Lonchura striata: one gene and its partner. Each later gene encodes a partner of the first gene's protein in a complex. Links are inferred from orthologs where the notes say so. Each region holds a gene or a part of one and is shown on either strand. Other genes may lie near its edges.

Evidence for each region. Proteins that work in one complex are often made in the same cells at the same time.
Region 2: the proteins of NMUR2 (region 1) and NMU are in contact, whole or in part, in a cryo-EM structure (PDB 7XK8), measured with the Homo sapiens proteins. The link is inferred for Lonchura striata from reciprocal best matches to the Homo sapiens genes NMUR2 and NMU. Residues at the interface, in NP_064552.3 of Homo sapiens: Ser42, His43, Gly98, Glu102, Glu105, Met106, Trp107, Arg108, Asn109, Tyr110, Pro111, Thr123, Phe126, Glu127, Asn181, His185, Pro199, Ser201, Thr203, Cys204, Val206, Tyr213, Phe284, Arg288, Phe291, Glu295, Trp297, Ser298, Glu299, Ala302; in NP_006672.1 of Homo sapiens: Glu146, Phe152, Ala153, Ser154, Gln155, Gly158, Tyr159, Phe160, Leu161, Phe162, Arg163, Pro164, Arg165, Asn166.

Annotation. Positions count from the first base shown.
Region 1 is NC_134617.1:5,838,461-5,846,015, reverse strand, and holds the start of NMUR2 (neuromedin-U receptor 2), read right to left. Parts: upstream 3,275-7,555; 5' UTR 3,179-3,274; coding exon 2,459-3,178; intron 1-2,458. UniProt on the Homo sapiens protein: Receptor for the neuromedin-U and neuromedin-S neuropeptides.
Region 2 is NC_134606.1:27,417,432-27,425,002, forward strand, and holds the start of NMU (neuromedin-U), read right to left. Parts: upstream 3,237-7,571; 5' UTR 3,222-3,236; coding exon 3,080-3,221; intron 159-3,079; coding exon 100-158; intron 1-99.

The DNA of each region.
Region 1 (7,555 bases):
TGTTATTACTATTATTATTATTGCCAATTACTGAGGGGATGTGAGACTAAGAAAAAAGCTGGAACCTTGGGAGAAGAATCATCCAGCCTATGCTGTCAGAAACCCTTGTTAAATAGAGTATGATTTTTAGACAAGCTGTGATCAGCACCTGCATTCCTTTTAGGAATCAGTTTGAAAGAAATGGGCAGGGACCTTGCACTGAATCCTGCTGCAATGCAGACTTGTCCCCAAGCAATCCCATCCCACCTCAATCAGTGCCCCACGGATGAACTTCCATGAGCAGCTACTGCCCCATGTTCTCATCTCATCCCTCTCCCCTCCCTCCTCAGCTCTTTGGCTGTGGGTTGTAACCCACACCTCAACAGCTGAACTGGGTTTGAAGAGCCTGGATGATTTAGGAATTTATCCTAAAGGTATCTGTGATGGGAACCCCATGAAAGAGGCAGCAGGAAGCTTCCACAATTGAGCCTAATGAGTTTACAGTGCAATGAGCAATGTCCTCTTCTTTACACTGGTGATCAACTGATCAATTGACCACAACATTGCAATATTAAACCACCAAGCCTTAAAATTATACCCAAGTAGATAATGAGGTAATCAACCATTTCCCAGTGAAAAAGACAAATGTGTTTTTACATTTTTTCAAGGGATTGAACTATAAATTGACTCAGGTACCCTATGACCCATGTGTGCTGCCTTCTCACAGCAGCTTGGCAGGTCCCTGTCCCCATCTGCATTGCATCCTGAGAGTGTCCAGTGCTGGCAGAGCTTGAGAGAGAAAATGGTGAACAAATGCCCTTTCTACAAAGCCTGGATATGAAAAGGTCATGCCTCTGTTTGCTGAATTTAAGCTGTTGCACAACCTTTGGATCAACCCTGATCTTTTCCACTGAGTTCTGTGAGTGATACATGGCACTCAGGTGACTGCAGGGTGCTGCTAAAACCTCATTAATTTCCTCCTCTGTGAGCAGATGAAAAGTGTCTCCTCTTGGAAAATTATATATATTCATCATTCTTCTATCACTTCTGTTGAAGAAATGAAATCTTGCCAGTGCAGCTTGGAGATAATGCAGATCTAGCCAGGATGGATTCTGTTAAAATTTGGAAGTCTGAGCTGGATGTACAGAAAAACAGAGGCACAAACAGTGAACATTCCTGTCTTTAGGAAAGACAGCTTGAACAAATGTGGAAATTTGCAGAAGTCCTGGGGGATCAGCCCTCATCTGGTACTGAGCTTCTCTTCTGGGATGGGGTATAGGAATATCTGCTGCTGCAAATAGAAGTTATTGCAACCTTCAAGTCTTCCTTTTATAAACTCAGGGATTTCTCTTTTTCTTTTTGTAACAACTCTATTTTCATCACCTTTCATTCCCTTCGGGTCTAATGTTGCAAAATATTAATTGAAACTCTGCAAAAGACCCCTCAACAGCCTCCAGACACTGGGGATAGTTTAACCCATTCACTGCCTTGAGGATCTGCTCTGTTCTGTGGATTTCTGGCAGATAATCCATGTTTTTTTCCCTGGGTAAGTAAAAATGATATGTACACCAGCAGAGATTTAGTTGAGTTTCTTGCATATTATTTAATAAGTTCATTTGTCTTCCTTTCTTGCTAAGGGATCAGACACATCTTTGTAAACTTTAAGTTACATTCAGTGTGATAAAATGGGATTTATATTGTCTAAATGTCTGTAACTTATGAGAAGAAAGTGGTCATCAAGTCACTGTGATTAGCAGTACATTTCAGTGTTGTGCTATGTAGTTTTATAACACTGTGATCCTGATTGTTTTTCCACATATTGACGTGATGGATACTTGTTAAAAGTAGTTTCAATTTCTGAAGAGAGAATGAATATAAGCTCTAAGGTAGCCTGGTAAAACAAGGCTGTAGTTATATAAATTGATGAATTTTCTAGCTGCAGCAATAAGCTAACATTTCAGTTTACGAGCTTTGTGAGTTTTAACAAGTGAATATAACCACCAGCTCCAGGGAAGGAAAAGAAGAAAGTAATGCAATGGAAATTCTACAAGGAAAGAGAAAACAAATAGTACACAAGATTCAATCACTAGCCATCTTCTTTTTATTCTTTTCACATTTTCCTTTTGGTCCATTTCTTTCTAGTCCCTACTGCAAAGGTGTAAATCTCTGGGAGGCTGGAAACAATCTACAGACTTGGGTGTTTCATTAACATTCAGATGTGAGCAGCAGTGATGGTAAGTTTTTATAAGAAGATTGGGGTAAATTATTCCTCAACATAGCTATACTAATCTCAGAACAGGATTGCACCAGAGAAGAAGTTGGATCTACTATTTTCAGAGGTTTGAGAAACACTTTTGCTGTTTTGAGGGGAAAACATGGGCAACAACGAAGGTGCAAAAGTCACTCAAAAGCCACATATAGACACAAACACACAAGAATGAGCCAAGGAAACACTGAGCACAGTTGGAGCAGGACTTACTCTTAGCCCCATCAGATAGTACAGCACACTTATCACCCCCATGGGCAGCACATAGAAGAGCAAAGAAGTGATCTGCACAATACAATTGTAGATCCACAGGGGCATGACCACGGTGCAGGTGGCGGAGCCGGGCACCAGCGTGCCGTTGGGGAAGCGCTGCAGCACGATGCCGTGGGTGCCCGTGTTGGGCAGGGCGAAGAGCACGGAGAGCAGCCAGAGCGCCAGGATGGTCCTGAGGGCGCGGCGGCGCGTGCTGGCCAGCTTGGCACGCAGCGGGTGCAGGACGGCCACGTAGCGCTCCACGCTCAGCGTGGTCACACTCAGGATGGAGGCGAAGCACACGGTCTCCAAGAGAGCCGTCTTCAGGTAGCAGCCCACGGGCCCCAGCAGGAAGGGGTAGTTGCTCCACATCTCGTAGACCTCCAGGGGCATCCCGAAAAGCAGCACCAGCAGGTCTGAGACCGCCAGGCTGAACAGGTAATAGTTGGTCGGGGTCTTCATGCTGCGGTGCTTGAGGATGACGAGGCAAACCAAGAAGTTCCCCACCACCCCGACAACGAAGATCACCGAGTACACCAAAGCCATGGGCAGGAACAGGTGGCTCCGTCTGGGCCCGCACAGGAAGGTTAAATAATCCTCAGTGCTGTTTAAGTACCTCCTGAGACGTTCTTCATGTAGAGCAAGGTGGTTTAACCAGGAGAAATTACTGACCCAGGCCATTGCTGGATCTGTTGAAATGTCTCACAGCTGAGGTTTGCTGTCCTTTCTGTTTCTCCGTGCAAGTTTGCTCACTTCTTGCAGAGAGAGGAGGAGGGGGCAGCTGCCTTGCCAGCCCTGGAAGCACAGAGCCACTGAGGATGTGAATGAGTGTGTTTGCCTGGCTCTGGGTAAGGTTGTGCTGCTCCACAGCTGTTTCCCTGGCAGAGCCCCTCAGCCAGAAAGCCCCTCCTTTCCCACATATTCATTGGCTCGCTACGTGCGTTAGATTATAGTGTAGGGAAAGAGGTTCCAGGCACTTGCATCAGCTCCCGCAGCTGATGCATTTACAGAGTCACTAAAGTGGGATTTAGGGAGCTGCCAATCTGAAAAATGGGACACAAAACCAGATGCAGGTTATTTGTTTATGTCAGAGGGTGGGAAAGCAGACCAGAAACACCCCCAAAACTCAGTCCAAAAAGCTTTTGCAAAATTATTATAGTGCTACATCCTAGTTATGAGCCACAAGCAAAACACAACTAAACAAAAGATTCTGGCATGATTTTGTTGTTCAAATCTCTGCTAATTTTTATTTTCTGTTGTCTATGGCAGCAAGTACTTGGAGACAGATTTTGATCAGTAGAAAGCCAAATAATTTCTGTAGCCATTTCTGTGGAATTATAATGCTTCAGCCTTTTTTTAAACACTGCAATTGTTTTTCTCCTGAGGTCTGACTAAAGATTTTAATTGCAATTCTTATTGACATCAAAATATTTTCTCACTTCCCAAGTATGCTGGAATTTGATCCTATATTCTTAGAGAGCCTTGTTTTGGGAATATTTCTGTACAGCATATTATTCCATATTTATTGCCTATGTGGCATAAACTTCTATAAACTCTTATTTATTCTTGAATGACAAGCATTCTGCAAACACACTTTCTGAGCCAAAAAAAAAGGGTCTCCTGCAAGAACCCTGGCTGTGCCAAAATAGATCATTTAGCTCTGAATGAATGCTTGATTACCTCCTGAATTTCTCTAAAACAAAAAAGGTCCCAAGTCTGTAGATAAAATTTTCTGAGATTCAGCTGTTTGAAATTGAAGAGGTGTAAGGTCTGAGGGCTCATTTATGGGATTTTTGTCAGCTTGGTGTGTGATTTGTCTGCCCAGAGCCTCTCATTAGCTCTCATTTGAGTACCTGCCCTGTCCCCTCCTTGAAGCCATGTAAACCTTTTACATCCCCGACATCCTTTGGCAAGGAACTCCTTGAATCTGCTATTTGTGTGTGTATCTCTTTTCTCTGTTTGACCCTTTAGCTTGATCTCTCAATGAAAAGAAAAAGATTGTTCCAATAAGCACAGACTGCCTCCAAAATAGCAGCAGCGTGTGAAGGACCAGGGGCTGGTTCCTTTGAGGCACATTCAAAGTGTGGAGCCTGGGAATCACTGAGAAATCATTTGAAATGTGAAAGGCGTGGAAGGTACTACAACAAACATACTAAAAGGCAGAAGCAAGTCTCTTGTGATGACTTTCAGACCTGCTGAAATTATCTCACATAAAAACTGCATCAGAAAGACCCAGCTCATTTATTTTCAGCATTGCATGGAGGTATTTTGTTCAGCAGACTGAAAAGTTTTACTGGATTATTGAATAACAAATGTGCCCTTTTGACCCATTGCTCCTTTCATTAAGGATTCAGTTTATAGCTATTCCCTGCATTTTAACAATGTTAAATTTGATCTTGATCTGCTGCTGATGTAAGAAGTAGGAGAGGAATCATTAGTTGAGTTCCTGGCTGACACCAGGATTAACTCTTTCAGAGCACAGCAGAAGACAAGTATTTGAAAATTTGTACAGCACTAAACATTTTCTGTACCTCTGCTTCACTTTCAATTTGTTTTTTGTTTTATTTATGTCTTTTGTTTTGTTTTATTTTTTTTTTCCCCACATACTTTCTTAGTACTTTATTTCTTTCCATTTCTCCTTTTTCTTCCCCGGTAAATTCCATAATTCCACTCCACCCTGCAGCATACCTGAGGTGAGTAAACCCTTCTGAAGTAGCTACCAAATTGGCTTCATTTTTCTTCTTGCACATTAACCTCTCTAAAGAAACTGAAGTGGAAGATTGAGTCTGTTCAGCTTGAACTCAGTCTTACAGAAAAGGAAACCAGAGAGGTTTGAGTTATTTACTAAAAAGCCAAAAGGGCAGTGACACCCACTGTGATCTCTGTGAGAGGAAAGCAATGGGCTGTGCAAACACACCAGGTCACCTCAAAGTGTGAATGTGCCAGACCCACCTGTGCCTACTTCCACTTGTTCTCAATCCTTTCTGATCCTGCTGAGCTCAGATGCTGAAAACCTGTAAGAATAGAAGCAGAAGAAAACCAGATAACCCATGGACCAATGTTGCTATGACCACGACTGTGTTGTAGATGGAGAGGACAAAGAGAGTGGAAAATATATTTCAGTTTATTTCTCAAATCTTTATTTGTGTTCTATATCATATCTGTCTCAATAAGGATAGAAGAATGTATTCAACCAAAGACTTGCTCTGGCTCTATATGAATGGAAATATTTTATTTTTACAACCAAGACAGAAAATAAAAACAGATTTTCCTTATGAAAGTAATATTAAAGCATTTGATATTTTTCTTTATAAAGCAAACTTCAATAGTGCTTGCTTTTATACACTGCAAGGAAGAGGGTGTGCTGCATGCTGGCCTTGGAATTGTGCAGCTTTATACAACAGCAATGCAATGAATGTAATGTAACATCTCCATTAATGCAGTGTAATGCTGGCAACATTAACCCAGACAAGGTTTTTGGCACTGTGCAGGAGTCACAGTGAGGCACTGACAGTGTCCTCACGCTGGTGATGTCTCTTGTCCCAGGTTTACATTGTGGAATGTTTGCCAGTGGAACGTGCTGCTATGAAAAGCAAAGTGAAAACTTAAGAAGGGCTGAATTCAAACACCTTCATGTCAAAGCCCTTGTAAGGACACCATTAACTACTTTATATTAGTACCTGGTGAGTGCTGGAGTCCAGGACATCCCTCTGGCTGCCCTGGTTGTCTCAAGACCCTGGCAAGGGTCTCAGGGACCCTGCCATGAAATCAAAAACATCTGTGGCTTTGATTTCAGCCCATGAAAAACTGTCAACTCTGGATGAGGAATGACAAGTCACAAGGGTTTTAGTAGTGTCATGCTTGAATTAACACAGTGTGGAAAAGTAGAATTTTGGGACTTTAAATATGGTGTTCAATGGGGTACAAGATGGAGGAATTTGGGTGTGTCCTAACCTTCTTCTCCTTCCTCTTGCCCTCCGTGTCTTGGTGTGATGGTGACACTTTTCTATTGGTTAAGGATAGTGACACACTGTCCAACATAGATGATAGAAAATGGTGAAGAAATTGTAAATATAGACATGTAGTTTTGAGTATATAGTGTAGGAGCTGCCCAGGGCTTAAGGCAGAAATGTTATGGCCTCCTTGCTAGGCAGAGTTTGGCAGATCAGAGAGAAAGAGAATTTAGGTAAGAAGAAATAAACAACCTTGAAAATGCAATCAGAAGCACTCCAGGCTCCTTCTTTGGCTGCTCAGGCTAAGGGAAGCAAAGACTCTTTTTGATCTCTTGGGGTCATCCTGACCTTCAGAACCCCAAGAGAAATTGACAGGTGAGTAATTGGGAAATGGGAAAATTGGGCACATTAATCAAGAGGCAGAGGACAGTGGAAGAATATAGAAAATGGATAAATGCTCCACTGGCACCACTGACAGAGGGGTGAGAGGTACTTTGAGATATGAACCATCATGATGGACTCTTCTGAACATTTTTTTATTTCAGAATGGAGACTTGCATTCATGCAAAACAAGCTATTTTTGGTTATTTTTAGCTATGTGGTGAGACAAGGAGGTTTCTCACCCAGCATCACATGCTTGGTTGTGGATCTGGAAGTAAAAGAACTGTGTAAATGCCCTGGTGTGCCACACAGATGAATTCTGTTGGACTCTGCCCGTGTAATCCTGCACTGACATGTCCACTTGGCACCCAGGACTGGAGCTGGCATCTCTCAGCAGAGCTGCAGGGGATTTTGCTCAGACTTTGCAGGAAAATGCTGCACTTCTTACTGTGCACACACCCTCAAGAAGTCATCCTGCTTCACTGGAAGGGCTTGGAGAGGCGCTGGGTTTGCCAGAATTCTTGGCAAGAAGGTCCAATATTTTTTATCTTCAGCAGGTGAAGCTTGGCTTTTTTTCTCATTTCTAATTTCCTTTTGCAGACTCTATTGTTTCAGTGCTTTCTCCCCTGCAGTTTGAGGGTACTGAAGGCAGGGGCAAAAGCCTTTAGAGGCTCTGTGTGAGGGAGCTGCTCTGCAGGGCCTGAGTTCCCTGCTGCTTTCATGG
Region 2 (7,571 bases), on another chromosome or scaffold:
TGAACTCCGTGCAAGAGAAAGACTGGATAGAGAGGTGGGACTGTAGCAAGCATGGGCAGAGAAGAAATGTGAGGATACCACATGGCAGATGATGCTTACCTCTTTCAACAGCTGCATATCCTCATCTGATGTGAGTGCTTGGGATGGCATTGGTGCACCTGGAAGCACAAACTGTGCTTAGCAATGCTGTACAGCAAAGGTCATTTGTGTGTCCCACATCAGATGTACCTAGCACAATTATTAACTGCAGAGGCCGAGAGCTGCTTGGCCCAAGGAAGTCTGTGACCTGGGTGCTCTGTGGCTTTTGCCTGCTCTATTTCAGCAACACAACAGGATGCTTTTTCACAATTCACAGCAGATATGGGCATTCACATAATAACAATAAACTGTGTGGAGGTTACTTAGGCCTCACTGAGACCTACTCAGAAAATCACATTCCAGTTCCTACTACCTTGAGCTTTCTGAGAGCTCTGCTCACCTCCAGTGCATGCACTGTGAGTTGAAGATCTGGACTCTACTTCTTGCCTTCTTGTATGCTACAGCTGCAGAATTGAACATGCACTACGTAATGTACGATTGCATATAAATAGTGCCCATGATATGAACATGTTTTGACAAGGTGATAGACAGTTCATCTGTAACTGGATTCGTTTCCTCTGTCTTGAATATACGATGTGGAAAAGCTTGTCCCTTAGTACATTAAATGTGTTCTTAATTGCATAAAAATGCAGTGAAGCTGTGCTTAACTTGGGGGATCTCCTTTCTCTATCTCTACCCACCCAGGCTGTAGACATGGAAGTCACTGTCCCAGTATCCCTTCCAGCTCAATGTCCAGAATGTCCCTCTTACCACATTGCTATTTTACCTGGCAGTGTATTTCTGATAGCAGTGTACTGTTAGAGTCTCTGTAAATAACAGAAATGATCATCACCAAATTGTGAGTCTGTCACACACCACGCAGTGATGTCAGTGAGGGGATGTGCTGTAACTCCCATGAGAGGAAAACTGGTGCTGGACCTCTAGACCTAGCTAGAGTGTCCAGGGAGCAGGGAATAAATGCCATCATGTTATTTGTTTTACATTTACCCCTGATAACAATAATCACAACAGTAGTTAGTTCCAGACATTAATGGAATGGGATGAATTTCAAAACCACATTTTTGTACTGGCACAGACTTGAGGCAACCAATTTTTATGGATGCTTGCTTTGCCCCAAGAAAGAATTAGAGGGGATCTTAATTTCACACTATATAGAAATGTTATTTTTAAAAAAATCTCTGAGTTGTTCACATAACAAGGAAACTGATTTCCAATTATTTGTTTCATTTCAAAGAAAAATGCCAAATAAATTAAAGGTGCTACAGTTGTCTTACGTTGTCTTCTGCTCTTAAATTAGTGTATTCAAACTGGAGCACTAGCTGAGATTAGTATCCTAGTTAAAAGAGTGGGACAGGGCAATCTTTTCAAATTAGCACACCTTCCCCATCAGAGCATTGCCTGCCTATCTCTGAACACCAATTCTGCAATTGACTGGCTCCCAAGGATTTTCAGGGAGACCTAAAGAAATTCATTTGCATGCATTAGTAAACCTTAGGGCAACAAGCAGGAAAGCCTGAGTATTATAACTTTCTCCATTTTTTTGGCCTGTAGCATAAACTTCTGGACAGAGAAGATAAACTATTTCCCACTCCTCACTTTCCTTTACCCTACTCTACATATTCAGAAATTTTTATTTCATAAGAAATCCCATCTATTTTGTGAACCTAGGACTGTGTTCCTCCAAAGACTGAACAGTGTTCCTTCATCACCCCATTCAGAACAGGGCTGCAGTACCTACAGGACTTCATTCATTTCCACATCAGCACACACAGTGAAATATTAAGGTTTTTTTTCAATATACAGCACAAAACCATAGGGAGAATTGGGGGGGGGGGGGGGGAAAGAAGGCAAGAAAGAGAAGAGAAAGAAGAGAAGAGAAGAGAAGAGAAGAGAAGAGAAGAGAAGAGAAGAGAAGAGAAGAGAAGAGAAGAGAAGAGAAGAGAAGAGAAGAAAAGAGAAGAGAAGCATGTGCTATTGAAGAAAAGAATCCTATTTAAAGGGAACACAGAGGAGGAAATCTTTCTACAAAATCAACATTGTCAACAGCACATTTGCTGTCCTATCCTTCAATTCTGCCATCTTTAAAAAATTCAGTTTATTTCAAGGCAGTAGAATGCCAGATGCGCAGCCTGGGACTCACATCTTCTTACATTTTCTCTTCCCTCCACTGCATCCCTAAACAAGCTCCTGCAATCATTTGTGTGAGAACAGTGAAATACTCTGTGCCACTGCCCTCCATTGTGCTCCTCTTCCTTCCCTCTGCTCTTCCACATCTTCCGAACTTCTTTTTAACATATTAAGTATGCTGCCATTAGATTTCTTTGGTTATTGATATTAAAAAAAAACAAAAAACAAAAAAACAAAAAACAAAAAAACAAAAAAACAAAAAACAAAAAACAACAAAGCAGGAAAAAAACCCTCACAACTAAAGCAAATCACACAAATGAAATACAAACAAAATAGAAATGGTCCTTGCACGGCGTTTTGTTACATTACTTTACAAGCTGTAAGCAGCTAATCTATCTGAGGTGGGAAAATAGAGTCGAAAAGAGAGTATGGTTTGTTAAACAGTCCGTTGGATGTTTCACAAGAGCCCCCTGCTACAAAAATAGCAACTTTCAGGATTCCTCACCTGATAAATATAGCGATATTTATAGGTTGGAATGAGTGACAGAGGGTCCTAATTTGTCCTGCAATTTTGTGACACATGTTGTCCCATGTCTTTTCTTACCTTTTAAAATCAGAGTAAATAATACTTAAAATTACATCTCTTTCAACAAAAGCCCTCGTTTCCCAAGGTGCTGGAGTGTTTTGCCAGGACAGGGTAACCCTGCCGGGACACGGGAAGAAGCCCCCAGACCCATCCCCGGAGCAGCGCCCAGGGGCTGCCCCGCAAGGCTGGCAGGCTGCGGGCACCCTGCTCCCCGATAATGGGCAGAGCTGGCGGCCAGGACGGGATTGCGAGCGGGACGAGCCTCACCTCTGCAAGCAGAAACGGAGGAAGCGAGGAGAAGGCAGAGGAGCAGCAGCGGGGAGCCGGGCAGCGCCGCGCCGTCCGCTGCCTGCCGCGGGCTGCGCCCGGGGGCGGCCGCGGCGGGCCGAGGGTGGCACAGGGGTCCCATGTCCGCCGAGCTCCCGCCGCCGCCGCTCTGCCAGCCGCTCTTCTGGGCATGGCCTCGCTCCCTGCCCCAACTTTTTAAATCCCCCCGACACGTGGCCCAGCCCCAGCCCGGCTCGGAGGGCTGCCCGCTCCCCCCGGGGCCGGCGCCGGGTGACTCAGCCCGCTCCGCCCCGCCGCTGCGCCGCTGGAGCCCGCGCCGTGCCGCGGGGTCCCTGCTCGGCACGGAGCCGAGGCGCTGGCCAGGCTCCACGCCCTTTAGCAAAGCCCCTCCTCAACAAAGAAAGCCGCGGCTAGTCCCCCGGAGCCCGGCGGGAGCCGCGGCGGCTGGCGCGGCAGGTAGCGCTCCCGCACTGCCCTGGGCGTTCCGAGCGATGAGACGGGGCGGCGAAGGGTGCTCAGACACCGACCCAGCCCGATGCGCGGGGGAGAAGAGGCGTGATTTAAAGCGGGTAAATCGAGCCTTCTAGCTGATTTGCCCCCAGCTGGCTGAACTTAGCAGTAAGCTTCGTGAAGCTTGCATGTGGGAGAAGCTGTCGGTGGCTCTGGGGAAGGGCACCCCTCTGTCTCTGCTGACTGGTCACTACATTTTCTGGAGACTCCCCGGCTTCAAAGGTGTGACTGCCTCCAGACTTTTCCTATGCCTTCAATACACACAATGCCACACCATGAAACAGAACTCAGCATATGGTAATATTTAGCTGTTAAAATCTTAATACTGTGCTTAGCAAGGTATTTTACTTATAATGCAGCTGCGGACCTTGGTCCAATTGTTATTTGTGCCTGTAGATAATGAAAGAATGACTGACAATCGATGACAGTCAAAAGTACACAGTCTCCAGATCTGTTAAGGCACTCGGGCAGTTTAGTCCAGCCATCTCTGAAGCTCAGCAAGGTCTGGCTTACCAGAGTGGTTACCCAAGTCTGCCGTTCCTCCTGCTGTCAGATCCAACAAGTGATGATCACCGCTGCCAAGAGTGAGCAAGATGCTCATGCTGGTGCTGACCTGTTCCTCACACCGAGCCCAGCAGCAAGGTCTGACTTGGAAGTGTGGCACATGTCTGACTGTCTCTGCTTTCTCCCATGTGCTCCAGGAAGGTCCTGCGCAGCTGAGGCGCTGCTCCGATGCTACAGAGATGGTTCCCGGATGGGAGATCCCAGTTTAGAGTCTATCTTTATGATTTGTTTTCCCTTCTTTTTACATTCATATTTTTTTCTCTTGGTTGCATTGTTTCCTAAGGAAATTAGTACATCACAGTCCAGCAATGAGGCAATAGCGCAATAGTAGAGGTTGTCATTTTCTGTAACAACTTGCAGTTCTTTTTTACCATTTCAGTGGGTTTTGACTGGGGGGCTAAATAGTATGTGGTGGGGTAAATCTGCCTGACAAGAGCACTTGTGGTTACTGTGAAACAAAGCAAAACTTTGATTTATAGCCATAGCATTGGTCTCTGCTCTTTTCCTTCACCTTTATCAGATGTATGTGAAAAAAGTGGGCTCTGCCACCCTGGATACTTTGATAGGCCATCAGAATTGCAAAAGCATTGCCAAGCAGCATGATAAGATGCTGTAAAATTCTTTTAGTAATAGAAGCATCTTCTCTCTCAGATTCAGTAGCAAAGCTTTCCTTTATATGTCTGTGGACAGAGCTAATCCCCGTGTCAATGGAGAGCCAGTTATCAGAGCAGCATATAAACTGAAGAAGCCTGTATTTTGCATATATGGTTGTATTTATAGCTACGTAATTAAAAGGGTTTTTTTTTTTAATAGTTTTAATTGAGGTATTGCATTGAGTTCTGGTTTTTCATTAATAAAAGCAGAACATATTTATTTGATAAAATGATCATAAATTCATCAGTCCTGAATGATATCTCCCCAATCTATCTTGACTCAGCTGCATGAATCAGTGTCCCAAGCTTTAGCCTAAGGAAGGATTTAATTTGTTATGCATTTTAATTATTACAGTCTTGTTAAATATTTAATAGATGGTGAAGTAAAATAAATTACAATCTATTATGATTAGAGTACAGGATACCTGTAAATATTCTGCACCTGTTGAATGGTGCAGAGTGTTTTAAGAATACTGAAGAAAAGATCTTGAATTAAACTAGTGTCAGGTGAAAGGTTTTTGATTAGCCCAGAAGCTGCATTTTTGCATAGTGTGTTTTAATACTGGAAACTGAAAAATTTTGCTGAGACCACTTGCACAAAAACATATCAGGAGATTTTGAAGATTATGGAAAAAAATTTCCAGGTAGAAAACTTCTGGTCCTCCAATTACCATTAAAAGAAAAAAATTGCATTTCCTGATACGTGGGTAAGGTAATCTGATTTGGGAATAGTTATAATCCTCCTTGTAATATATTAGAAAAAACAATATAACGTCTAACAAAAATGTATATTTGCACTAAGGTCAGACTATATATTATACCAAAATAATATTTCTACTGAAATTGCTGCAAATTTTGACAGAGCAACATCACCAAGCTTGAATCTGAGTTTATAGGAAGCTTGTATGGTTTATGACAGTCACCTTTATTCAAGGAACTCACCAAAATTCAAGTAAGCATTCTTGTAAACAGGAGAAAAAATACATCTTTCTTTATTGTATCTGGTTTTGTTTTGTTTAATAGCTTGATGAAATTAATGTTACACTATTGCGGGAACAAAACATATCCTCATTAAACGAATAGCTTAGAGGATGTTTTGGATGCTGTAATTAGCTTCTTTGAAATATTTATGCTCATTCTAATGTTGTTTGAATAAATGCTAATTATGGCTAGTGGAAAGGAAATCAAAGAGCTGAGTATGTGAAAACATCATCTTCCCTGTTTGTGCAAAGGCAGGGTCAGGAGGTATGTCACTGAATCCCCTTGCTGCATGCATGCACGTGCTGCCTCTGAAGAGGTCAATGCATGCTGGTTTTTCTATGACTTTAATTTAATAAAAATGGTGAGAAATCATTCTTCCTACATCTGAACACAAGCACTCTGAGTGCTTTTATCCATACTGCATTTTCTTCATCAATGTATTTCAAACTTACTGGAGAGTGCTTGAAATGGCTCGCTGTGTGCAAGCATGAGGATGCTTCTCACAACTTCAGATGGGTCCATTAATAGCTTGTTAGTCCTTCTGTACAATGGGCAAATTGCCTTTTTTATGTTCTAGAGAATTAAATTTTGTGTAAGAAAGTCTCAAAAACTAATTAATGGCTGCTCAGATACTGTTCTCCTTCAAGGTATTTTCTCCTTTTATTGGTAATAATGAATAGAGAGTTTGTGTCAGAACAGAAAAAGATCCATAAAGAAAAGTCACTGGAGTCTCAATTGAAGAATAAGCATCTCTAAATGAGCTTTTATTACAGTGTTGGCCTAACACAAAGAGACAATCAGTCAGTAGTAGTCTTTAGGGATGTCTCCCTACAAATAGAACGCAAACAACAAAACCCAAGTCATATTGGGCATGATAGACCCTGTATTTTCTCAAAAAATTCCTTTTATACTTTATCTAAGATGATGCCTCAGCTCTTCCTTTATGAATAAGTAAAACATAAATGACCCTCTAATGAACTAGATCTTGCCTGAACTACTGGAAATGAGGACAGAAAACCCAGCCACTGTGCTGAGAGACTCCACTAGGGAACAGTGATGGGACTGATTACAGCAAATGTTCAGAGCTCTCTTCAAGAGTTACAGAATATTTTGCATAAAAAATTCCTGGTGTAAAAGAGAGATGACTGAAACCTTTAATGACTAAAGAAAATCTGATGACAGTAACTAAATTCAGAAAAAACATGCTAATCTTTCAAAAATTATGACTACCTGTGAATACCCAGAATAAATGTGCAATTTTTATGGACTTGAGTTTGTTTTAAAAGTGGAACAGGTCATAAATGAATGAGAACAGGCCATAAACAGATGATAAACCTTTCTCCACCAAACTCACACCATTTTCCATATTTTCCACCAGCATTCATTATTTATTCTATACAAGCATGGGACTAGAAACAGAAGAGATTATTGTTTTATGAAGTCCTGATGATTGTAGAAAAAAAAAATTCTGTTCAAAAGAAAGGAATAATTATCTACTATAATTACTATGTAAGAAGTATAGTCGCACAATTTTTTTTTGAAAAAGGCTAATCTTCAAGATACTCTCATCTCAACTTTTCTCTCCTCAATATTGCTTTCAGAATCTAGAGGTTTTATTAACTGAAAAGACCTTAAGCAAGAAAATAGAGAGTGAAAGGAGATGAGTAACAACACTTAGAAAATGTCATTTTCCCTTCCACACTCCTGTGAGATGAGTTGGGCTTACAATGGGATCATTTATCTTGTAATGAGAGACAAACTCA